Schizosaccharomyces pombe: one gene and its partners. Each later gene encodes a partner of the first gene's protein in a complex. Each region holds a gene or a part of one and is shown in the gene's direction. Other genes may lie near its edges.

Region 1 (6,575 bases):
CCGTTCCTAGCAAATCGTTAACATACAATACATAATCATGATTGACGTTATCAAAACCATGGTTGTGAACTCCTTCACTGGGTTTGGTGAGTGGTCTCCGAGGGTTTTGTTCGGAAGAAAACTGGAATTTTGGATTACAAATTGAATATGTATCAGCTAGTTTCACAGTCATTGCTTCTAAGGGCTATATGTTTAATTAGTAAAATGCAGAGCAAGTAAAAAATTTCGTACGCTAATATAGCTTCCATGGGGAGACACCCTTCTGTAATTGTATTTCTTGGTTGCCGGTTTGACAGGAGCAAACAAAGTTGTTCCAGAAGACGAGACATGACGAGCATGATTATTACGCTGCGAGTGATCATGAGTCCTCGCAGCAGGAGGATTGTTCGATAATGGAAGAATGGGCGAATCCGAATCCATATGAATAGAGACGCCTTTTTGTAAAGTATTGCAAAGAATATATCAGTATAGGCAGAATACGAGTGCCTTCATTCACACTCGAATCACTTTAAAGTAACGTAAAATAGTGATCTCTTGGAACGTGAGTCGATGCACAACAGTGCAAAAAGGAACCACAAGTTATACTATTTACAAAGTAGTAGTTGACAGATTAACCAAAGGAATCTAAAAAAGAAGTGCTTTAAAGGAAAAAAGTCAAAGAGTTTGAAATGAACGCACCAACCGGCTAATCAATTTAATGGAACAACTGACAAAGAGCTAGTTTCGCTTACGATAATCTCGATCTGGAACAAAGGGAAACACTTGTGGATATGAAGCTTAAAATATGAATTTGGAGGAATCTTCTAATTTTCTTGTTTATAGCGTGTAGCTACAAATACAAATATAATATTCGGCAGAAAATCGAAAATATTCACTAAAATAAGCCGATAAATATGCACAGTGCGAGTTGAACGAATAACTAATCAACTCCACCGTATAAATTACAAATTTATACGAAAAACAACACTGAGAGATTTCGCAATTTATTGAAAGATGAAGGATTTAACCAAAAAAAGCGGCTTGGTTAAAGGATAGAGAGGAATCTGAAGGAAAGGGATGACGACACACCGCTTTGTAGTGAGCCGCGTGTAACGGCGCTGACGATGACTGAAATAAAGTACAATTGCTTGCTATGCCTTAATCAGTTTTACTGATTTTCAATCTATTACGTAATAGAGTGTATCAATGAATTAAAAGGCCGTCATTAAAACTTTGGCTTGCAAAAAAATACAAGAAAAAGTTACTAGAAGAGGATCTTTTGATTCTTATATTATTAAATAGTTGGATCTTAGATCCCAATTAAATAATTAAATATTGTTTCAGGTTTCCGTGACATGACTTAAGAAGGCGATAATTTCGCTTACATTAAGGTTCCTGCTCTTACTCTCCACAACGAAATCAATTCGTATTTGAAAAGACGAATGAATTTGGTGCAAAACATCCGTCTATACCAATAACCGCGATAAATAAGAAACAACTTCCATTGAAAGGCTTATTCGAAACATCAAGCGCAATGTTTACCAATAGTACGCATCCTTAATTCAGAATAGTAGCAATTTTTCGAAAAAACGGATATTCTCCATACTTAGTATATTTGGATGTTGCACAACCATGTAACCGGTTGGATATTAAAAGGAGGAAAAACGTTTCTTGTTTGGCATCTATCTGTAAATGAAGGAGTCGTTGTTAAAACATTCTCCACGCCGACTACATTCGTACATAAAAATTTTCGCATAAACGACAAACGAAATGGTTCCTAGTCCAATGTTCACACAAAAATCTGTAGTGAATGGACGAATATTGGTTATTGACTTCAAACATCTAAGGAAACATAAATAGACGCAAGATATCAGAATCGAACTAGCTTATATGTAAAAATGTTCCTACCAACTAATGCTCCTACGTACTTCGCATGACACTAGATAACATAAATATTTCAAATTTTAGATCGCTAACAAAAATTACAAAGCACAATGATATTCATGAAAGATATATGTTGTTTAGCTTTGAACCTTTATTGAAACTGGGAGTTCATTTTATTTATGAAACAACCATACAACGTTATGAAGTAATATTTTTCTGAATCCAAAGCTGAAGACGTTTAGTCCGTGAAATTCAAACATCCATTTACAATTGTGGTACCAAAAAGTTTCCCAGTCTGGATTTCAAGATGGCTACAGAAACTGCAAATACGCCAAGACTCACGAAAATGGAAGAGTTTTCCTTATTGACGACTAAAAGATGTTAAATTAATAGTTTTACAGGGACATACCCTTTTTGAAAATATCTTTTTGAGCAGAAATGCGATCCATTTTTGACTAAGTGGTTGAAGGAACGTGGCTAAATACCGACTTGTAACGTAATTTAACATGACTGTGATCGCTGCCATAAACAGTGATCAGGTAAAATGTATGGCTTCAATAACCCTAATTGATAACCCTAAGAGCTAGCTGTATGGATTTTGTTTTGCAGTAGAGGAAACATTCTATACTGCAATAGTTTTTTAAGACAAAACGCTTTATATTTAGTTTACTTGGTCTTACGAAATAATCAAGAGTAGCGCTGCGGAAACAAATTTTTTCCTTTAAAATTTTCCATAATCATTATCTTTTTTAGTATTTTTTCATTTTTTTTTCGGGGGAGGGGTTAGAATAATTTAATTCATTTTCTTAACAAATGTACATCTCAAGAGCATCAATATTTAGACAATTAAAACTTTCAATAAATAAACGATTATTTTTTTCGGATTATTAATTGCTAAGCAGATAATTGCTTGCGACAAGGAAGCAAAGTGAGTATACACTTGGTTAGATGGAAAATATAATCACTTCCTCATAATTAAATTGTTCAGCGTATTTCATTCATCAAAAGTAATTCTATAAACAACCTGACGCTGATTATGTACAGTTTTTGTCCCGCAACTGCGTTAATGATTTCTGAGTGTATTTGTGATACGAAATTGCTTATAAAGAATCATGACATTCTATCAAGTCAAAATCGATAAACCCCATGCTTCTTAGTTTTCTAAACTTTCATTGCCGACAGTTTTGGATAAATTTATTAAATAACAAATTACGTTAATCCACTTTAACGGACACAAAATATTATTAACGATAACATACCTCTTTCAAAAAGGTGGAAGGGGGTCCTCACCCTTCCTTTGACTGCTGCACGAAAAAAAACTTGCCAACCACCAACATGTCGAGATTCTTCAAGGGAGGCTCTAGCGACAGCGATGCAGAATCCGTTGACTCCTCTGAAGAAAACCGTTTAACCTCTTCAAGGTTGAAGAAACAAGATGACTCTTCATCTGAAGAAGAATCAAGTGAAGAGGAAAGCGCATCCAGTTCGGAGTCCGAATCATCTGAAGAAGAGTCTGAAAGCGAAGAGTCAGAAGTAGAGGTTCCCAAGAAAAAGGCCGTGGCTGCTTCCGAAGACTCTGAATCTGACTCTGAAAGCTCAGAAGAGGAAGAAGAGACTGAATCCGAAGAGGATAGCGAAGTTTCTGATGAATCTGAGTCCGAGTCTGAGTCCGAGTCTGAGTCTGAGGAGGAATCTGAATCTGAAGAGGAATCTGATGAATCTGAACGTTCTGGCCCTTCTAGTTTCTTAAAGAAACCCGAAAAAGAAGAGGCCAAACCCGCTGGTCTTAAGTTTCTCCGTGGTGAAAGCAGCGAGGAAAGTAGTGATGAGGAAGAGGGTCGTCGTGTTGTTAAAAGTGCTAAAGATAAACGCTATGAAGAGTTTATTAGCTGCATGGAAACTATTAAAAACGCTATGAGTTCAAACAACTGGATTGTTGTTTCTAATGAATTTGATCATTTGAACAAAGTATCTCAAAAATGCAAAGAGGCCGGCAGAAATCCTCCTCCGTACATCGAATTCTTGTCTGCTCTTGATCAAAAACTCGAGTCCGCTGATAAGGCCTTTATCAAAAGTTTGGATGCTGCTAACGGCCGTGCGTTCAACGCTTTAAAACAGCGTGTTCGTAAAAACAACCGTCAGTTTCAAAGTGATATTGATAGATACCGTAAGGATCCTGAAGGTTTCATGAAGCCAGCAGAATTAAACGAAATTCCCAAGCCTGCCGGTAAGGCTGGGCAAGATGAAGTTATTGTTGATGGTGTAGCTACTCGTGGTATAGTTGCACCTACTGAGGGCTTAGGAAAACCAGAAGAAATTACACCTGCAGATATTTTCAAGTATCTCAGAGCTATTTTCGAAGCTCGCGGTAAGAAAAGCACTGACCGTTCTGAACAAATTCGTTTACTAGAAAAACTCTCGACTATAGCCGTAACTGATTATCAACGTCTTCGCGTTAAAGTTGCCCTATTGGCGGTTAGATTCGATATAAACACTGGCTCTGGACAATACATGCCTATTGATCAATGGAATGCCGCTCTTACTGAGTTACACAGTATTCTTGACATCTTTGATGCAAACCCCAAAATTGTTATTGTTGAACAGGTAGAAGATGAAAATGAAGAAGAGGAGGAAGCGATAGCTGCGGCGGAAAATAATAATGGAGTCATACAAGTTCAAGGTAGTGTAGTCTCTTTCTTAGAACGATTGGATGATGAATTTACTCGTTCTCTTCAAATGATTGATCCTCATACTCCTGAATATATTGACCGTCTGAAGGATGAAACGTCACTTTATACCCTTCTTGTCAGAAGCCAAGGTTACCTTGAGCGAATTGGGGTGGTTGAAAATACTGCTCGATTGATCATGCGCCGTCTTGATCGCGTCTATTACAAGCCTGAACAAGTAATTCGCGCTAATGAGGAGGTTGCTTGGCGTTCTTTCCCTCCTACTTTTGATCTTACAATTACTCCTCGTGCCACGACTACGACTCCTGATATTTTAATCCATTCCCTATGTGTCTATCTTTATAATAATGGTGTCAGTTTACTTCGTACCCGTGCTATGCTGTGTCATATTTATCATGAAGCATTGCAAAATCGTTTTTACAAGGCTCGTGATATGTTACTTATGTCGCATTTACAAGATAGCGTGCATGCTGCCGACATTGCTACTCAAATTTTACACAATCGCACTATGGTTCAAATTGGTTTGTGTGCTTTCCGCAACGGTATGGTTCAAGAAACACAGTATGCTCTTCAAGACATCTCTACTACTGGTCGTGTAAAGGAACTCCTTGGACAAGGCATACAAGCACCAAAGTTTGGACAATTTACACCTGATCAGGATCGTTTGGATAAGCAGTTGGTTTTACCTTTCCATATGCACATAAATCTAGAACTGCTTGAATGTGTTTACTTGACTTGTTCTATGTTGATGGAGATTCCCGCAATGGCAGCTGCTAGCTCTACTGCTTCAGATTCTAGAAAGCGTGTAATCAGCCGACCCTTCCGTCGTATGCTTGAATACATTGATCGTCAGCTTTTCGTTGGTCCTCCTGAAAATACCCGCGAGTATATAATGCAAGCTTCGAAAGCATTGGCAGATGGTGAATGGCGTCGTTGTGAAGAATTTATTCATGCTATTAAGATTTGGAGCTTAATGCCTGATGCTGACAAAATTAAGCAAATGCTTAGTGAGAAGATTCGGGAAGAGGGACTACGTACATACTTATTAGCATATGCTGCTTTTTACGATTCTGTTTCTCTTGAATTTTTGGCTACGACATTTGATCTTCCTGTTCAGCGTGTTACTGTTATTGTTTCTCGGTTATTATCTAAACGTGAGATCCATGCTGCTCTTGATCAAGTTCACGGTGCCATCATTTTTGAACGTGTTGAGATTAACAAGCTGGAAAGCTTGACTGTTTCTCTTAGCGAGAAAACTGCACAATTGAATGAGGCAAATGAAAAGCTATATGAGCAGAAGACCCAACACACTAATCCTCAGGAGAACAGACGTCGTGATAAGGGTGGCTCGGTTAAAAGACGCAATGAACGCACCGAAAATCGGAATCGTTCAGACATGAATTAAAGTTGTTGTGCATCGGTGAAAAATAGGGCGATCTAATTTCAATAAAATGAATGACTATTTGTCTTTGAAGAAAGTATTTAACTATCAGGTGGTTTCCATAGATCAATAGACATCTGAGTTACTTCATAGTGGTTTTGTTACAAACGTTAATCGGAAATAATGTAGTTTACCGTTTGGTAATTATCTTCAATTGTAAAGATACTTTGCTTCGAAAGTCTGAATCTGTTGACCATTATACACGTTTACAGTAAGCTATTTCTGCAAGCTTTGTTCTTCAGTTTCATATGGTCGCCTTTTTTCCATCGACTGAAAACAGACATGATGTGTGTAATCGAATTTTTGGTCGCTAGTACGAGCTCAATCTATCGGTGTATGGTTTGAAGTTGTTTTCTTTAAAAAATCTATTACTGAACGAAGTATCTCTAATTGTGTTGTTGAACCTCTAAACAAGAGTTCTGAAATTCTATTGAATACTTCTGAAGTCGTATTAAGCATAACAATCCTTACACAATACATTCACACGATCTTGAATGGTAAACCTCTAACGAAGTCAACTGCGATAAGTTTCATATTATTTCTAAAAATGAGGGAAACTTTATAAGAATTTTTTTATCAATGTT
Region 2 (6,916 bases), on another chromosome or scaffold:
TTAGTAGCTTGGAAGTTGAGTGGAACGTCTGTAGCCATGCGTTTGTAATATAATTCAGCTAACGGAAACAAGCGCTTCATCAATCCGTTTAAATAATCGGGTGGAGTATGTTTATCACAATAAGTTTCCATATCAACACTATCATAACTTGCAGAATGTGAGTATATTTTGTAAAAAAAACCTGCACGTCGAGCACAAGTTATATGGTAAGCTGCATAACAATTTTTATCTGAGCATTGCACACAAGTACCCCATCGAAGTTTACAAATGCAACACACCAATTTCCAGCGAGACTTTGGGATTGAAGCAATGTTTCGAACCAAGTCTAATCTACTAGTGTCGTGAAAAGATATTTCAGGGATTGCTATGGCGCAAATTGTGTGGCACCAACGTCCATCCAAGGTTGTGCAAAACGCACCATCTCTGTCAGGACAAAAAGCACAGCATATAACTTCATGAGGGGCTAGTAAACATTTCTTACAAAACCATTGACCCTCTGGAACAAAAGGGATTCCATAACAATTCTGGTGAACAGAAGTGTTACAGTTATCGCAAAAAACTATAGCATTACTGTTTTCGCATTCTGCTTCATTACAAATAACACAACGACCATCTAGTTCATCCTCCACTCTGACGGGTTCAATCTTAGGCATCCAAGCCTCTAGATAAAGCCATTCGCGTTCAATAATGGTAAGAACTATTTCTAAAAATTCTTTAGAAACATTTTCCCACTCTGAATTAGATGAAAGTTGAAACTCATTATAATATGTTAACCACATTGTGTCTAACTCATCCAAGTCGTAGGATACAGGAAAGGACGTTTTTGAGTAAGGATGTATAGCAACGAACTTGAAATATTCGTCTGGACTCCAATCTAATTGTTTCGCAGTTTTATATCCAAATTTTTTCTCTTGTGGATTAATATTTTCCGTTTGAACACCTACTGGCTTTACGTTTTCGATCTTGGCATTGAGCAAAGCTTTAAGCACATAAGAATTCTCGGATTTATAGGTTACTAAAGAATCACGAAGGCCTGCATATTGTGTATGGTCACCTTCTAATATTTCCAAAGGTTCGTCTATTTGTAGGTCTGGATGGAAAGATTTATAGGGAATCTCTTCTCTCGGCTGAAAAGCAAGTTCATCGGGTCTTAGAATATTTCGACCAGTAGAAGTAAGTCGGAAGGTTTGCATGAAAGCCTTTTACAAGATAGATTTACCATACTATCTTTTTTACATTTCTTTCATGGTGTAACTATATTTACGAGAAAAAGGTGCAATTTTGCTTAAACTTCAATAGTGCATTCTGCCGCTGATGATTAAGCAGAATAAGCGGGGGTAACGTGAATGACCGAAATAAAAAGATGATTGTAAACAGTTGAACTCTGAAATGAAAATAGTTTGGACATAGGAAGGGGTAAATTTATTCTTCCCGTTCTTTCTCTTTTTATATTTATTGGTGTTGTTTTCAAAGAAAACCAGAGGAAATTGGAAAGCGTGATTTTGCATTTTACGGAAATGTAAGAGTTACAATTATATACAGTTGATGTGAAAGTACAAAGATTTTCGAGATGCTTGATAAAAAGCCCTTTCAAGAATCTTTGTGAATAGTTTATAAGCTAATATTTTTGTACCCGCCATCAACGAATACTTCACTTAGTTTATTCTTCTAGAAGTCTAACATTTACACCAATCACAATTAAATTGCTTCATCAAAATGGGCCTCTAGAGTTTACCTAGCGTCGAAGAGATTGAGGACTTAGCGTTTTTTAACAAAAAAATCTTTCGGAATACATAGGGTTATGACCTCTTTATTATAATACTTTGACAAACTATATTCGCTAAATCTTTCTTCCTTTATTCAAGCTTTGAGTAAAAGTAATGCGAGTTTCTGCTACTTTTCAAGGATAACACTTTAAATTTTAGATTGGCTCGGAAAATATTTCGCTCAAACCACACTTCTTTCACTGGTAAGGTCTCAACGTTTATATAAGTTTGTTGCCAATTGTAAATAAGAGTTTAGACAATGCTACAAGTATAAAACAATGCATAAGCCCTGATGAGGAACTCAAGCGAGTATCGACTCAACGGCAATAAAGATTATTTTAAGAACTAACTAGTTTTATCACCAAATACATCAAACAAAGAATGGACTTGGTGATTAGCGTAGAAACAGATCTACGGCTAAAATTCCAAAACTATAACGGTACTAATATTTCTTGGATGTACATTGTGTAACGATAGTAATTAGTAGCGGCAACAGAAAAATCTGACTACTATCCCATAAACGTTCAAATAAAAGCAAAAATAGAGCTTTCCTCTGTTCTAAACTGAACTGGTATTTTTTAAACAAACATGATAGATTAACGAGTATGTTAGCACTTCACACTAGGCGATCTATTCAAATTTAGTCATATTATCGTATTCGGTAAACCACTAATTTCTTTGCACAAAAAGTGATGCTTATTCAAGTCAAACCTAAGAAAGATATGAACAACTAACTATATATATATGCATGTGCTAACATTTTTTTTTGCAAAATCAAGAATTAAGTACCTCTTGTTTAGTGGCTTATATAAAACTGCGAGGTAGCTCGCTATTCGTGTAATAAAATTTTACTACGACAAGGGGGAAGTTTTCAACTGCACAACATGGCACCTCCTCAAGGAAAGCCCGAAAATGTGCTAAGGGTATGTATTATGAGTTTTTTACTTACTTTGACTAACATAAATTAGCTTGCCGATGAGCTGATAGCTCTAGATCAGCACAGCTCAGCACTGCAATCTCTTCATGAGACTATAGTTTTGAAAAGATCAAGAAACGCGCAGGGGTTTTCTCTCGAGCCTATTATGATGCGTTTCATCGAACTTTGTGTTCATTTACGCAAAGGAAAAATTGCAAAGGAAGGCTTGTACACCTACAAGAACGCAGTTCAAAACACCTCAGTTACCGCTATTGAGAATGTAGTCAAGCATTTTATTGAACTTGCTAATAAAAGAGTTCAAGAAGCTCAGGAGAAGGCAGACAAGATATCAGTTGAATATGTTGACGATCTTGAGGCTACTGAAACTCCCGAGAGCATCATGATGTCTTTGGTTTCGGGAGACCTTTCCAAGAGCCGCACAGACCGTGCTTTGGTCACTCCATGGTTGAAATTTTTGTGGGATGCTTATCGTACAGTTCTTGATATTTTGCGTAATAATGCTCGTTTAGAAGTAATGTATCAGTTAATTGCTAACTCTGCATTCCAATTTTGCCTCAAGTATCAGCGTAAAACCGAATTTCGCCGTCTATGTGAACTCCTTCGGTCCCATCTTGGCAATGCTTCTAAATTTTCAAACGCTCCACACTCTATTAACTTGAATGATGCTGAAACTATGCAGCGTCATCTGGACATGCGTTTCTCTCAGCTAAACGTTGCTGTTGAGCTTGAACTCTGGCAGGAAGCTTTCCGATCCATTGAAGACATTCACAGCTTGCTTACGTTCTCTAAGAGGGCTCCTGCTGCAGTCATGCTTGGCAATTATTACCGTAAATTGATTAAAATCTTTTTGGTTTGTGATAATTATTTGCTTCATGCTGCAGCTTGGAATAGGTACTTCACATTTACAAATGTGCAAAAACCCGCTACTGCTAATTTTGTAATTTTAAGCGCTCTCTCTATCCCTATTATTGATGCCAACAAATTATCGGGCCCTTCCATTGAGGCAGAAGATGCCAAGAGCAAGAATGCTCGTTTGGCTCTTTTGTTAAACTTATCGAAAACACCTACGCGTGAAACATTAATTAAGGATGCCATTTCTCGTGGCGTTCTTTCTTTCTGTGATCAGGCTATCCGTGATTTGTACCAGATTTTGGAAGTTGAGTTTCATCCATTGAGCATTTGCAAAAAACTTCAGCCTATCATCAAAAGATTGGCAGAAAGTAATGATACTGCTCAATACATTCGTCCTTTACAACAGGTTATTCTTACTCGTCTTTTCCAACAACTGTCTCAAGTTTATGATTCCATTTCATTGAAATATGTTATGGACCTTGCTACATTCGAGGAGCCTTACGATTTTAACCCTGGTCAAATTGAGAAATTCATTATGAATGGTAACAAGAAAGGTGCATTTTCTATTCGTTTGAACCATATTGAAAATTCCATTAGCTTTTCTTCTGACTTGTTTTCTAATCCCATTAAGTCTTCGGATTCTGTTTCTCTTCAATCTACTCCATCTGAATTAATTACATCTCAACTTACGCGGATTGCCAAATCCCTTTCTAGTGTTTTGATGCGTTTTGATACCGATTTCTGCCTTTTACGCAAGCAACAAGCCGAGGCTGCCTACGAAAGGGCTCAGGCTGGTGTTGAACAGGAGCGTAAAGCGGTCATTGCTCAGCGTAGTCTTCTCGAATTACGTCGTGGACAGGCTGATACACTTGCTACTCAACGTGAAGCTGAGCTTGCTGCTCAACGCGCTCTCAAACAAAAGCAAGAATCTGAAGCCGAGTCTCTCCGCGTTCAAGAAGAAATTAATAAACGTAATGCTGAAAGGATTCGTCGTGAGAAGGAAGCTATTCGCATTAACGAAGCTAAAAAGTTGGCCGAGGAGCTCAAAGCTAAGGGTGGATTGGAAGTCAATGCCGAAGACTTGGAGCATTTGGATGCTGATAAATTGAGAGCTATGCAAATCGAACAAGTCGAAAAGCAAAATAAGAGTATGAACGAACGTTTGCGTGTTATTGGAAAGCGTATCGACCATTTGGAACGTGCTTATCGTCGTGAAGCTATCCCATTGTGGGAAGAAGACGCAAAACAACAAGCCGAACATGACCGCGAAATCTTTTACGAGAGGGAGAAACAACGCAAGGAAGTACAAGAGCGTAAGCATGAACAAGCCATTAAAGACAAAAAGGCTTTTGCTCAATTTGCTTCCTATATTCATGCCTATAAGCAAAATATTGACGATGAACGTGATAAAGCATATCAGGAGGCATACGCCAAAGCTAAAAATGTCATTGATGCAGAGCGCGAAAGGCAACGTAAAGAAATTTTCGAACAAAAATTGGCTGAGGCTATTCGCGAAGCTGAAGAGGAGGCTGCTCGTGCTGCTGAGGAAGAGGCAAACCGTGAGCTTCATGAGCAAGAAGAAGCTCAAAAACGTGCTATCGAGGAAAGAACTCGTGCAGCTAGAGAAGCTAAAGAACGCGAACAGCGCGAAATGGCTGAGAAATTGGAACGCCAAAGACGTATTCAGCAAGAGCGTGATGAAGAAATATCTCGTAAGCTTGCCGAGAAAGCAGCTGCTAGAAGAGCAAATATTGGCGCATCTTCACCTAGTCCTGGTGCTTGGAGGCGCGGCGGTGCTAGTGCTGGCGGTGTTTCACGAGACTCTCCAAGGTATTCTCGTGGTGGCTACTCTCGTGGTTCTGTTCCTCCTCGTGAGACCCTTGCTCCTTCTAAGGGAGCATATGTTCCACCAAGCAGACGTAATCAACAACAACAGTAGTAAACCTACTGTCTATAAGAAAATAAACCTGTCGACAATTAATTATTGTCGCAATTGGATATTGGAGTCAAGTCTTTACGATGCATTATCTAATGTCACAGCTGATAAATTTAAATGAACTAATGTGTTCTCCTATTGAAAGTTGTAAGTTCCTTTTTCTTACAAGGGTAGTTGGTTACTTTCATGCTATTGGAATTCATGAAAGCGGTTATGTGTATAAAAAGAGCCTTTTGTAGCTCTATTTAATAGATAATTATCGTTAACCTTTGAACTTTTTTTAATTTGTATAATACTGCTTAAAGCTTGACTTGTTAATTGTAAATGTAGAACGATACTAATCGAATAAAGATGTTACATGTCAAGTTTATAAGCGACGATGAGTTTTTACAGTTGACGTTTCTGTAGTATGCATTTCTCATTTCAATAATTCTGAATACAACGAGTGAAGAAATAATTCATTAATTATTAGCAACGTGTTTTGTATTAGTACCAAAAAGGTTAAGCAGCTTAAAATATTTGTTTAAAGACACTCAAAGTAAAAAGGTTTCTTGGTGAGAGGCACGACAATTTGTTACCGCAAATAGACTCTTCGCTAACCACCATGTTCAGAACGACCAAAAGTCGAGTAGTTGAAAAGAATCAAAATTTTTCTAGTGCTAGTTTTGAGAGTTTAAGTTATCCTACGCGACTTAATTTTTATAAGAAACCTCCTGTCTCTGAAATAAGCATTGAAGAGTTTGAAACATGGGCAATAGACCGATTAGTTGGTATGCTTTCCATTTTCTTTATTATTTTCTATTCTTTTGGAGTAAGCTAACTATTTAGTTTTGGGTGAAATTGAGTCAGCAATGCTCCGCAATAAGACGAAAAATGAATTGAACGGGATTATAAAAAAGATACTGGATAAACGTCTGCCGATGAGTAGCAACATGGCTAGGACTGTAAAAGGAAACTCCTTAGATGAAGAAAGAAGGAAAGATCATTATTCTCATTTCATTCTGCGCCTGGCTTTCAGCAGATCGTAAGTAAAAATGTGCTATATTTGAGTGCTGTCTGTCGAAAAATATCTCATTTAGACTTATAAATGCGTTCGCGTTATGGCATAAGTAGTAAATTGAACATAAAGTGGGTATCAATTTGCTGCTTCAGTTAAACAGAAAGCATTATATATATGAATACATTTAAACTTGCTTTTATTCTTTTCCTAACGCATTCATTAGTGATGAATTACGAATCAGGTTTTTAAGAGCTGAATCCACGTTATTTCGGTTTCGATTTGTGAATGAGGAAACCCGAGAACGTCAAGCGTTTATAGATAGTCTTGATTTTCAATGGGAATCTGTTTCACAAGAAGAAAAAGACGTTTTTTATGAAAAGCTACAGGCTTCTTCTCAAAGAAATATAGAAAACGAATCTTTCTTC
Region 3 (5,440 bases), 2.8 Mb from region 1:
GAGAAGAACCCGTATTTTGTACATACTTTGATAGGACATACAGACTCTGTACGAACTATATCCGGCTATGGTGATATACTTGTGAGTGGGAGTTATGATTCTTCAATTCGCATTTGGAGAGTTTCAACAGGGGAATGTCTTTACCATCTGCGGGGTCATAGTCTTCGTATATATAGTGTTTTATATGAACCAGAAAGGAATATTTGCATAAGCGGTAGCATGGATAAGTCCATTAGGGTTTGGGATTTATCGACAGGGACTTGTAAATATGTGCTTGAAGGCCATGATGCCTTTGTTACGCTTCTTAATGTATTCCAGAATAGGTTGATATCAGGTTCTGCTGACTCCACAATTAGAATATGGGATTTGAATACTGGGAAACCATTAATGGTTTTGCCGTCTAATTCAGGCTACATTAGTAGCTTTGTGTCAGATGAACACAAAATTATTAGTGGTAATGATGGTTCTGTAAAGTTATGGGATGTTAGGACTGGAAAGCTGTTACGTTTTCTATTAACAGACCTCACAAAAATATGGCATGTCGATTTTGATGCTATGCGTTGTGTGGCTGCAGTGCAGCGTGATGATCAAGCATATTTGGAAGTTATTAATTTTTCCGGATCAAGACCGTAGAAAGTTTCATTTTAACAATATTTAAGAAGACATAATTAGAGTAGTGTCTAACTATTTACATCAGCTACTAACACATATTAAATGTATACAATGTAAAATTAACAGCCAAAGCCTATCAAAAGTAAATAAGTAACGAAGGATTGAATAAATTATGCTGGTTGGTTTTGTAACTGGTATTGAATTAACATTGGGAAAAACTTCCAGATAGAAAAATCCGGCCAGTAGAAATCGATGAATTTTATCTCCGTATTTTTGTGACACTGATAAAATTAGTTGAATATCTTTGACTAGAAAATTAGGAGAATTTTTACTTACCTGCCATAACATAAAATCAGATAGACGCTCCACACCGCTAGTGCGAATCAACAAGTCTAAAGGAAGACTATCTTTTATCAATAGGTTTTTTTCAAATATATCTTCATCTATATCTTCTGGAGTGATTGTACCATCTTCTGCCATTTTTACTATTGATTGCACAGAAGTAGCAATTTCATGTCGAGAAGTGTATGGAAAGCAAACATTTAATGTTGCCCTAAGATGTCAATTAGCAAAATAAAAATTTGAAAAATTTCACATACTTTGTGTTATGTTTTGTAATTTCCACAGCCTTTAGAGCAGTTTCTAAAACGTCAGGTTGCAACCTGCTAAGATCGCCAACAATGCGAATACGGATCCCATACTGATCAACCAAATCACCATGAGCAGTAATTTGCGTTAAGCTGTTTTTTGCAATCTCCATTAACATATCAACTTCATATTTAGATCGCTTAAAATTTTCAATGGAGAATGTGAAAGCCGATACTTCTTTAACTCCTAACTTCAGACACACTTTTAATAGCTTACGCAGGGTTAGTTAATGTACCAAATTGTGCAGAACGTAGACGGATACCAATGCGCAAAACATGGAGAAACGGTACGTTTAACCTTCTATTAATGTTCTTTAAACTTACAGATTTTAAAGCTTCAAAACCTGAGCTATGACCCTCGATAGTTTCCATCCTTCTTTGACGAGCCCACCGTCGATTGCCATCCATTACAAAGGCTATGTGTTGTGGTACTTTGCCACGTTTAATTGTATTTATCATCATCGTTTCTAATTGATCAAGTGTCCATTGTAATGGAGGACAGTGAATAAACCAGCCTGATAAATTACCCATATTGTCAAGATATTTTGTCAATTCTTTTCTTTTCCTTTATAAATGCACGCTAAATATCAAAGAGAAATAATTATCTTGATAAACAATTATTTTCAAAAAACGATTAGATGTTTTTGACGCTTCTATAAAACACTCAGGTTATCCGGTTCTAGATATGTTTTATAAGTATAATTACCAAGCACGCTAGAAAAGGATTTTTAGCTAAGGAAATATACTTTCAATCGTAAACGAATGGAACAAAGAGACGCTAGTTTAAGACCAAACGCTTTTGTATTTTTTTTTAAAAATCACGAAAGAAATATTATTTTTTGTACAAATAAGTAAGACAGACAAAATTCAAACAAAACCACAAAATACTGTTTTCAAAGTGAGACGTGCGACCTTTGGGTCTAACTAGTCTAACGCAAGTGTCTCAGAAATGAAGCCAGTTCATTTAAGAGTGTCGTTAAGCCTCCTTATTTTTAATACCATCCTTAAGTTACGCTAATTAGAATCAAAATATTACAACTAAAGACTTTTCGCTCAAACCCTCTACCAGCACTTTCCTGTTCAAAAGATGAGGCCTATCATTTTACAGGGTCATGAGCGTCCTTTGACTCAAATAAAATATAATCACGATGTAGGTTTAATAACCGTCCATTATATGTGGAAAATTTACTAATTTTTGTGTGTAGGGTGATTTATTATTCTCATGTGCCAAGGATAAAGTGATTAATGTCTGGTTTTCACACAATGGTGAACGCCTAGGTACATATGAGGGTCATACTGGTGCAATTTGGACTTGTGATATTAATAGTACGTGAAAATTGGTGGTGATGTATGTTGGATTAAGACATCTAAAGGTATACGGATTATGGAAGTATAAGGAAACACGAATAATGAAACATATCATGACTCTAATAAATGTATTTTTTTTATTAGTCGTCCGATTGCAGATGGTTATACTCGTGATCCACGATTCTGAGTTGGCGTAGTACTTAAAGTTAAATATGCATGGTGCATCTCCTTTACTTATATTAATGCTACGTTTACCTCACTTCACTTCCTCGTGGAAAGCATTTAAACTTCTTTTAAATCCTTTTCCTTCTTCTTGATGCCTCAAATCCAACTAGATCATCTGTTCCTTTTCCAATGGTTACTAACTGAAACAGAAAGTAGCACTTTAATGGTTAGTGGAGCCGCTGACAATACCATGCGTCTTTGGGATGTTAAAACAGGAAAGCAGTTGTACAAGTGGGAATTTCCTACTGCTGTCAAACGTGTTGAGTTCAACGAAGATGATACCCGTATTCTTGCTGTTACCGAGGAACGTATGGGTTATGCTGGTACCGTCACTGTTTTCCGTGTTCCTATTTCGGAAAGCGATGCCGCTGCTGAAACCCCCCTTTACGTTATTACTACTCGTGAATCTAAAGCAACGGTCGCTGGATGGTCTTACTTGAGCAAGTTTCTCTTTACTGGTCATGAAGATGGCTCCGTTTCCAGATACGATGCTATAACCGGAGAATTCGTTGAATCTAAACAAGTTCATAATTCTGGTTCTACTATTACTGATCTTCAGTTTTATCCTGATCGTACTTACTTCATCACTTCTTGCAAGGATACGACTGCTAAAGCTATTGATGTTGATTCTTTTGAAGTCATCAAAACATACCTTACTGATACGCCTCTTAATACTTCTAGTTTTACTCCTGTCCAAGACTTCGTTATTTTAGGAGGTGGTCAAGAAGCCCGTGATGTTACTACTACTGCTGCTAGACAGGGTAAATTTGAAGCACGTTTTTATCATGCGATTTTAGAAGAAGAGTTAGGCCGCGTTAAGGGTCATTTCGGTCCTATCAACACAATAGCTGTCCATCCCAAAGGAACCGGTTATGCTAGTGGTGGAGAAGATGGTTATGTTCGGGTGCACTTCTTCGATAAAAACTACTTTGACTTCAAGTATACATTGTAGGTTAATTTTATTCAAAAAACTGTTGATAGTATAGTAATGGACAACGGAACTTTTTTCCAAAGATGTATCATTTTCGTTTAGGGAGCATTATATGAAAAATAACCTTCTATGAGTACAAGAGTTTTTTAATAAATTCCATTCAAAATTCAAATGTTTTAAAGTGAAAAGTAATGTAATTGTCATATTCCGTAAAGCAACTAACTTATCAAACGCTTCTTTTAACGAGCTTTTGAAACATGTTTGAGGAGAACAGCCCCAGAAATTATAATTGCTCCAAACCATATGTAGTTGTCTATCTTGCTGTAGGCTGGAGTCGTTATTTCTCGATAACTAGGTGTTTTTTTTGGGAAGTATCCCAAAAGTCGGTTGATGAGATTTTCGTCGAGCATGGCAAGTTCCTCCAAAGACCACAGTTCGCAAATCTCAATCATCCATCTCATTCTTTTGCGACTGTTTTCAGGTTCGGGAACAATGTCTCGTAATTTTTGTCGTAAAAGGCCAGTTTTTTCCAATGCCATACCAGTAGCTGGATTGATTGAACTTTCGATTTTTTTTCGTATTAAACTGGCAAGTTTTGGACCTTTACCATTGGTGCTAACCATAATTTGTAGAGGGCCGTTACGGATTTCAGACCCAAAGTAGAAATCACATTCAGGTGGAATATCCGCCGCATTGACCGGGATTTTTTTGCTTTTGCATAACTTATAAATTTCGGAAGACAAGCTGGGATCATCTATGGCTGTAAGTACCATGTTTACATCGTCAGACAAATCTTCGACTAGAAATCCCCTGTCTCGCCATTCAACTTGCTTCTCCTGTATTCTCCAAGCCACTTCTTTACAAAGACCAGCTTTTGGACTTACAACGATAACATGGGCATCCGCATTCAAAACATGCAATATACGCCCAGCTGCCACAACGCCACCTCCAACAATTAATACTTTTTTACCTTGTGCACGCCAAGCAATAATTAATGATCTAAAGCTTAGATTAGCCTAAAAATTACCTTGAGATACATCAAAAAACTTTGCTAGCTTTCATTTTGTATGCTTTGCTAATTTTTCAATTCTGTGTAGATGAAAGTTAAGATACTAAAAAGCTGAAAATGATTTATAGAGCCTTGTAACTTCATAAAGATGCTTGACTTACCCACCAGGCTGCACAGACTGATATTTTGAAGCCATTATTCAAATTTTATCTTAACCAAGTGTAGGTGTTCCTGTATACTTGAGAATTATAGTATCGCCAATTACAATTCGACATTCAGTATCTGCTTCCCTATACGGGTTAATAGTTGGGAATCCTATTACGCGTATACTATTCGTTTATTTAAGACCTAAATTTTCCAGTGAATTAAAACTACCTTGTGAATAAAATCCCGAGGACGTGCAAATTTTTGAAACTATTTCATAGCACCAACTAAGCATATTCCTATACATCATAGATTAATTAATATGCTAAATTTATATATTTTTTTCATTGACAAGAAATATCCATACAAAAGTAATAGATGAAAGTGGCTCTTAGACTACTTAGTCGTATTTAAATAAGACGTTAAAATTCTTCATTAATCTCCTTACCATGTATACCAATGTGGTATAAACAAATTTGCGACGTCAAAGATTCATTTTTTGAAAACGCCCTGAACACAAATGTGTTAAAATAAGCTTCTTCCAGAAGGCCAGGTGTGTCCGAG
Region 4 (5,461 bases), on another chromosome or scaffold:
AATATTATAGACCAACCTGAAGAGCCTGCGCTCTCTGAATTGATTCCGCTTTGGGATTCAATAAGGACAACATTGAGCTTAAAGTAAATCACCAAATGAACTGTAGTTGGTTAGTTCAGCTACTTATTAGTCGAATATTTACTGAAGTCTTTAAAAATATCGTAAATTTGCGTACTGCGTTAATAATTATCAAATGTAAGCTACGCAGTTTGGTATCTATTTTAACGATACTTAGACTACGGCGAGTTTTCCTTGTGACCTATTGTATTGCAATACGCAGGTAATATAAGTAGCAACTGAGTATAGGTATTATACCATCTAGGTTATATTATTACTTATCACTATTATCGCTTATAAATGAACTGAGGAATGAGGTTCAACGGAATATTTATTTGCAGTATCAATACAATATAAAATATTAATAGGTTATCATTAAGTTCAATCTCGGTATCGTCAAAGATGGCATGATGAATAAATACGACATGTGACATATAGTGATACACAACGTAGTGTAAAATAGCGTTGTTTAGTATTGCTGAATCAAATCGCTTCAAAATTAATTTAATGTAGGTTACTATACCCTATCATAAACTACGTTAAAAAAAATACATCAAACTTTTGAATAGTTCGCACAAATTTTCACCCACAGCACTAACGCCGAGTCAGAATTGCGGCGTGAAGTACTACAAGTGAAGAATGGCTGATTACTTGTTGTATGAGTCTGCGACAGGGTATTCCCTTTTTGATGTCGTTGGAGCTGATCAAATAGCAGCGAAGACAAAGGAAGTGCAGTTGTCTCTTCAGGATATTTCAAAATTTGGTAAAGTGGTGCAGCTTAGAAGTTTTATTCCTTTTAAAAATGCTGCCCATGCTTTGGAAAATGCCAACGACATTTCTGAAGGCGTTTTGAATGATTTTTTGAAAAACTTTTTGGAACTCAATTTGCCGAAAGCCTCAAAGAAGAAAAAGGTGTCTCTGGGAGTCCAAGACAAAAATTTAGCAACGTCTATTAAATCCGAAATTGATGCCATTGAATGTGACACTTCTGAGCTTACCCAGGATCTTCTCCGTGGTATTCGTTTTCATGGTGATAAACTTCTCAAGCAACTATCACCCGGTGATTTCGAAAGGGCTCAGCTTGGTTTAGGACATTCATACTCTCGCGCAAAAGTGAAGTTCAATGTTAACAGAAATGACAACATGATTATCCAAGCTATTGCTATCCTTGATCAACTTGACAAGGACATTAATACTTTCGCTATGCGCATGAAAGAGTGGTATTCTTGGCATTTCCCTGAGCTTTCGAAGATCGTTGGAGACAATTACAAATACGCTGTTATTGTTACACTGGTTGGTGATAAAACCACCATTAACGACGAAATGCTTCATGATCTGGCAGCCGTTGTAGACGATGACAAAGATATTGCTCAAAGTATAATCAACGCTGGTAAAGTGTCTATGGGACAAGATATCTCTGAAATTGACCTCGAGAATATTCTATCTTTTGCTGAACGTGTTATTAAACTTAGTAATTATCGTAAACAGCTACATAACTATTTGGTTCAGAAGATGAATGTTGTTGCTCCCAATCTTGCTGAATTAATTGGTGAGATGGTTGGTGCTCGTTTGATTTCTCATGCCGGAAGTCTAACTAACTTGTCAAAATGCCCGGCTTCTACGGTACAGATTCTAGGTGCTGAAAAGGCTTTGTTCCGTGCTCTGAAAACCCGTGGAAACACGCCTAAATACGGTATTATTTACCATTCTAGTTTTATTGGAAAAGCTGGCGCTAAAAACAAAGGCCGCATCTCTCGTTTCTTGGCTAACAAATGTTCTATTGCTAGCCGTATTGATAACTTTAGCGATGCCCCAACTACGGCATTTGGTCAAGTTCTTCGTCGACAAGTCGAGGAACGTCTCAACTTTTTCGATACCGGTGTCGCCCCTACTCGCAATAGTATTGCAATGGCAGAAGCTTATGAAAAGGCATTATCGAGTGTTAACATAGACGGAGACGAGGAGGTTGACATTGACGTTGAAGAGACTGTTGAAACCATTTCAGAAAAGCCGAGCAAGAAAGAAAAGAAAGACAAGAAGGAGAAGAAAAAGGAGAAGTCTAAGAAAAAGCGTTCTGCCGATGATGCATCAGAAGAAGTCAAGAAAAGTAAGAAGAAAAAGAAGAGCCATTGAGACGTTATTTTTATTAGGATATAACGGGGACCATATTGCTCTTGCATATTTAGAACAACTTGTAATTGAAAAATTTGCTATAGATTATGGGCGTAAATACTGTAATATTACTAAATCGATTGATATCGAGCTTATCATTTTGATGGATGGACGTGTAAAACTTATCTCTTAGTAAGCATTTACATTTTATTAAGTAGCATTTATGTATTATTCGTATAAGAAGTGCTATTTATATCGAAAGTTAAAAAAATATTAGAAACCAGTATTTGACAATAATTACAATTTAAGTAAAGATCAAGAATCGGATAAAAATTTGTCTTACACATTGATTTACATTAGCTGGTAGTAAGTTCGAGCTTAATTAGTTTTATGAAAAACTATTGGTTAAAAAAAGCAAAAATATCATTAAGGAATTTAATATTTTTTGTACGAACATTGCTGACCTACTATTGTCATATTGCTTTTCAGTACTGTAGTCTAAGGGGGCTACTACTAGAGTTTTGGGTGAGTTGTGCTATCCTCCCCACACCACGCACTTTTTTTTTGCGTGAAACATATCAGATATGGGATCCGAGCTTAAGAGTACAAGCCCTTTAGGTAAGCTAATTTAGATTTATTTTTAAATACAGGAGAATGTTTTCTAACCTTTATAGCGGTCAAGTATGATTTGTCGCAAAAAATTATGCAACACCTTGACCGCCATCTCATTTTTCCTCTATTGGAATTTTTATCTTTAAGACAGACTCATGATCCAAAGGAGCTTTTACAAGCTAAGTATGATTTGCTTAAAGATACCAATATGACTGATTATGTGGCCAACTTGTGGACTAATCTTCATGGGGGTCATACCGACGAGGACATGGCAAATGCTTTTGCTGAAAAGCGACGCAGTGTTTTGCAAGAGCTCTCTGAACTTGAAGAAGAGGTTCAAGGAATTTTAGGTGTCTTAGAAAATCCTGACTTGATTGCAGCTCTTCGTCAAGATAAAGGTCAAAATTTACAACACCTACAAGAACATTACAACATTACCCCTGAACGTATAGCTGTTCTTTACAAGTTTGCTCAATTTCAATATAATTGTGGAAACTACGGTGGTGCATCAGATTTACTTTATCATTTTCGTGCCTTCAGTAAAGACCCTGAATTAAACGCCTCCGCGACCTGGGGTAAATTTGCTTCTGAAATTTTGACTGTTGATTGGGATGGGGCTATGGAGGAATTGGGAAAACTTCGCGAAATGGTGGACTCCAAAAGCTTTAAAGATTCTGCTGTTCAATTGAGAAATCGAACTTGGCTCCTCCACTGGTCCTTGTTTCCTTTGTTTAATCATGCAAATGGTTGTGATACTCTTTGTGATTTGTTCTTCTATACTCCTTATCTCAACACCATCCAAACCTCTTGTCCCTGGCTATTAAGATATTTGACTGTCGCTGTTGTTACTAACCAAAATAATGCAAATCAAAAACCTCGTAACCCTAGGCAATCTTATCAAAGAAGGATGCGAGATCTCGTACGCATCATTAGCCAAGAAAACTATGAATACAGCGATCCTGTGACCTCTTTTATTTCTGCTTTGTATACTGAGGTCGACTTTGAAAAAGCTCAGCATTGCCTCAGAGAATGTGAAGAGGTTTTGAAAACCGACTTTTTTCTCGTATCTTTGTGCGATCACTTTTTGGAAGGTGCTCGCAAATTACTTGCTGAGGCATATTGCCGTATTCACAGTGTCATAAGTGTTGATGTGCTTGCTAACAAGCTGGAAATGGACAGTGCTCAATTAATACAACTTGTTGAAAACCGTAATAATCCTTCAGTTGCCGCAGCTTCTAATGTAGCTGCCGATCAAAGTACTGAAGATGAAAGTATTGAATCTACCTCTACAAATGTTGTTGCTGATGATTTAATCACGGAAGCCGAAACTGCTACTGAAGCCGAAGAGCCCGAACCCGAGGTACAATTTGGGTTTAAAGCTAAGTTGGACGGTGAATCAATAATAATTGAACACCCTACTTATTCAGCTTTCCAACAGATTATAGACCGTACAAAGTCATTAAGTTTTGAAAGTCAAAACTTGGAGCAATCTCTTGCTAAAAGCATTTCGGAGTTAAAGCATGCTACTGTTTAGACAAGATTAGCAAATAGTTTAAAGGTGGAATATATTTCATACATTAAAAATAAAACATAGGAGTTTAATTAATTCGCTAATTTTGTATTTTCAAACAACTCGTTATTGTAGAAGATGACTGTGTACTTTCCTATTTAAAGAAACGTGCTCATTGAATATCGCTATTAGTATATTAATTTTGGAAATTTGAAACATGCGGGGATATTAAAAAAATATATATTATCTAAAATTTTTTTATTTTCTGAAGTGCATAAAAAATAAATAATTAATGCAAAAGTATTAATGCCGCTATCTCAACATGTAGAAAATGTGTCGGTGGAATTAACTTATGTATATATTAAATTGCTGTAATAATACTAATCCAATTGCATTAAATTAAATTTCCCTAATTGATAGATAAATAAACGATGCTGCAACGGTATTACCGTAATTTAATCGAAAGACTCGCTACAACTAATATGTAAGTTTGGTGTTTAAATTTCATATCAAACCAGTACACCACGAAAGCTTGAGACAGCATCCGTTTCCGTGCCACCAACATTTATCAACGCAAAGATATCTCTTGAAAAGAATAGATTTTTGGTCAGTAGTAGGACCAGGACCTAAAGATGCCAAATCCTAATCAAGCAATAAAAAAAGAAAATGAACCTATTCAAGTTGAAAACCCTACGGAACTAGTCAGGGATGATGGAGAAGTAGAGGGTTATCAGAAAGAAGAAGGAAAATTCAAGCTAGTTCTTTCCATATTGAAACAATGCATTGGTGTGAAGGATATTGCTAGTCTTCGCTTTAGTTTACCTGCACAATTGTTAGAGCCTGTTGGAAACTTGGAGTACTGGAACTATGTTGATCGACCTGACTACTTTGCAGTCATGGGCGATTCTGATGACGAACTTGAAAGAATGTTGGGCGTATTGCGTTGGTGGTTTACAAAGGACCTTCGTTTTGTTCGTGGTCGTGTGGTAAAGCCTTACAACTCTGTGCTTGGTGAATTTTTCCGGTGCAAATGGGTCGTAACAGATCCTACAGTAAGAGAAGATCATACATTAGATCCAGATTCTTCTCAACTACCTACATACAAGACGGAATATTCCGAAACCACCAAATTCCCACTTGGTAAATCATATAGGCCAAAGGCCTCCCGTA

Evidence for each region.
Region 2: tif303 (region 1) and tif301 share a complex: the UniProt entries of both Schizosaccharomyces pombe proteins name them as parts of the eukaryotic translation initiation factor 3 (eIF-3) complex.
Region 3: tif303 (region 1) and sum1 share a complex: the UniProt entries of both Schizosaccharomyces pombe proteins name them as parts of the eukaryotic translation initiation factor 3 (eIF-3) complex.
Region 4: tif303 (region 1) and int6 share a complex: the UniProt entries of both Schizosaccharomyces pombe proteins name them as parts of the eukaryotic translation initiation factor 3 (eIF-3) complex.

Annotation. Positions count from the first base shown.
Region 1 is NC_003424.3:2,579,600-2,586,174, reverse strand, and holds tif303 (translation initiation factor eIF3c), read left to right. Parts: upstream 1-3,185; 5' UTR 3,186-3,198; coding exon 3,199-5,955; 3' UTR 5,956-6,075; downstream 6,076-6,575. Other genes in the region: serine/threonine protein kinase Ppk15, read right to left, coding at 1-184, 232-420; tom6 (uncharacterized protein), read right to left, coding at 2,128-2,234, 2,273-2,312. UniProt on the Schizosaccharomyces pombe protein: Component of the eukaryotic translation initiation factor 3 (eIF-3) complex, which is involved in protein synthesis of a specialized repertoire of mRNAs and, together with other initiation factors, stimulates binding of mRNA and methionyl-tRNAi to the 40S ribosome.
Region 2 is NC_003423.3:3,311,688-3,318,603, forward strand, and holds tif301 (translation initiation factor eIF3a), read left to right. Parts: upstream 1-2,643; 5' UTR 2,644-2,650; coding exon 2,651-2,689; intron 2,690-2,734; coding exon 2,735-5,494; 3' UTR 5,495-5,765; downstream 5,766-6,916. Other genes in the region: histone acetyltransferase complex subunit Nto1, read right to left, coding at 1-1,193; DNA primase large subunit Spp2, read left to right, coding at 6,096-6,261, 6,320-6,515, 6,715-6,916. UniProt on the Schizosaccharomyces pombe protein: RNA-binding component of the eukaryotic translation initiation factor 3 (eIF-3) complex, which is involved in protein synthesis of a specialized repertoire of mRNAs and, together with other initiation factors, stimulates binding of mRNA and methionyl-tRNAi to the 40S ribosome.
Region 3 is NC_003424.3:5,356,610-5,362,049, forward strand, and holds sum1 (translation initiation factor eIF3i), read left to right. Parts: upstream 1-2,314; 5' UTR 2,315-2,346; coding exon 2,347-2,409; exon of another isoform or gene 2,410-2,464; coding exon 2,465-2,585; exon of another isoform or gene 2,586-2,941; coding exon 2,942-3,744; 3' UTR 3,745-3,895; downstream 3,896-5,440. Other genes in the region: F-box/WD repeat protein Pop2, read left to right, coding at 1-633; rer2 (cis-prenyltransferase), read right to left, coding at 783-893, 949-1,165, 1,212-1,471, 1,584-1,790; met8 (siroheme synthase), read right to left, coding at 3,963-4,722, 4,894-4,928; protein Csi2, read right to left, coding at 5,299-5,440. UniProt on the Schizosaccharomyces pombe protein: Component of the eukaryotic translation initiation factor 3 (eIF-3) complex, which is involved in protein synthesis of a specialized repertoire of mRNAs and, together with other initiation factors, stimulates binding of mRNA and methionyl-tRNAi to the 40S ribosome.
Region 4 is NC_003423.3:937,554-943,014, reverse strand, and holds int6 (translation initiation factor), read left to right. Parts: upstream 1-2,706; 5' UTR 2,707-2,753; coding exon 2,754-2,787; intron 2,788-2,843; coding exon 2,844-4,315; 3' UTR 4,316-4,394; downstream 4,395-5,461. Other genes in the region: chaperonin-containing T-complex zeta subunit Cct6, read right to left, coding at 17-73; U3 snoRNP protein Nop56, read left to right, coding at 697-2,190; oss1 (oxysterol binding protein), read left to right, coding at 4,924-5,461. UniProt on the Schizosaccharomyces pombe protein: Component of the eukaryotic translation initiation factor 3 (eIF-3) complex, which is involved in protein synthesis of a specialized repertoire of mRNAs and, together with other initiation factors, stimulates binding of mRNA and methionyl-tRNAi to the 40S ribosome.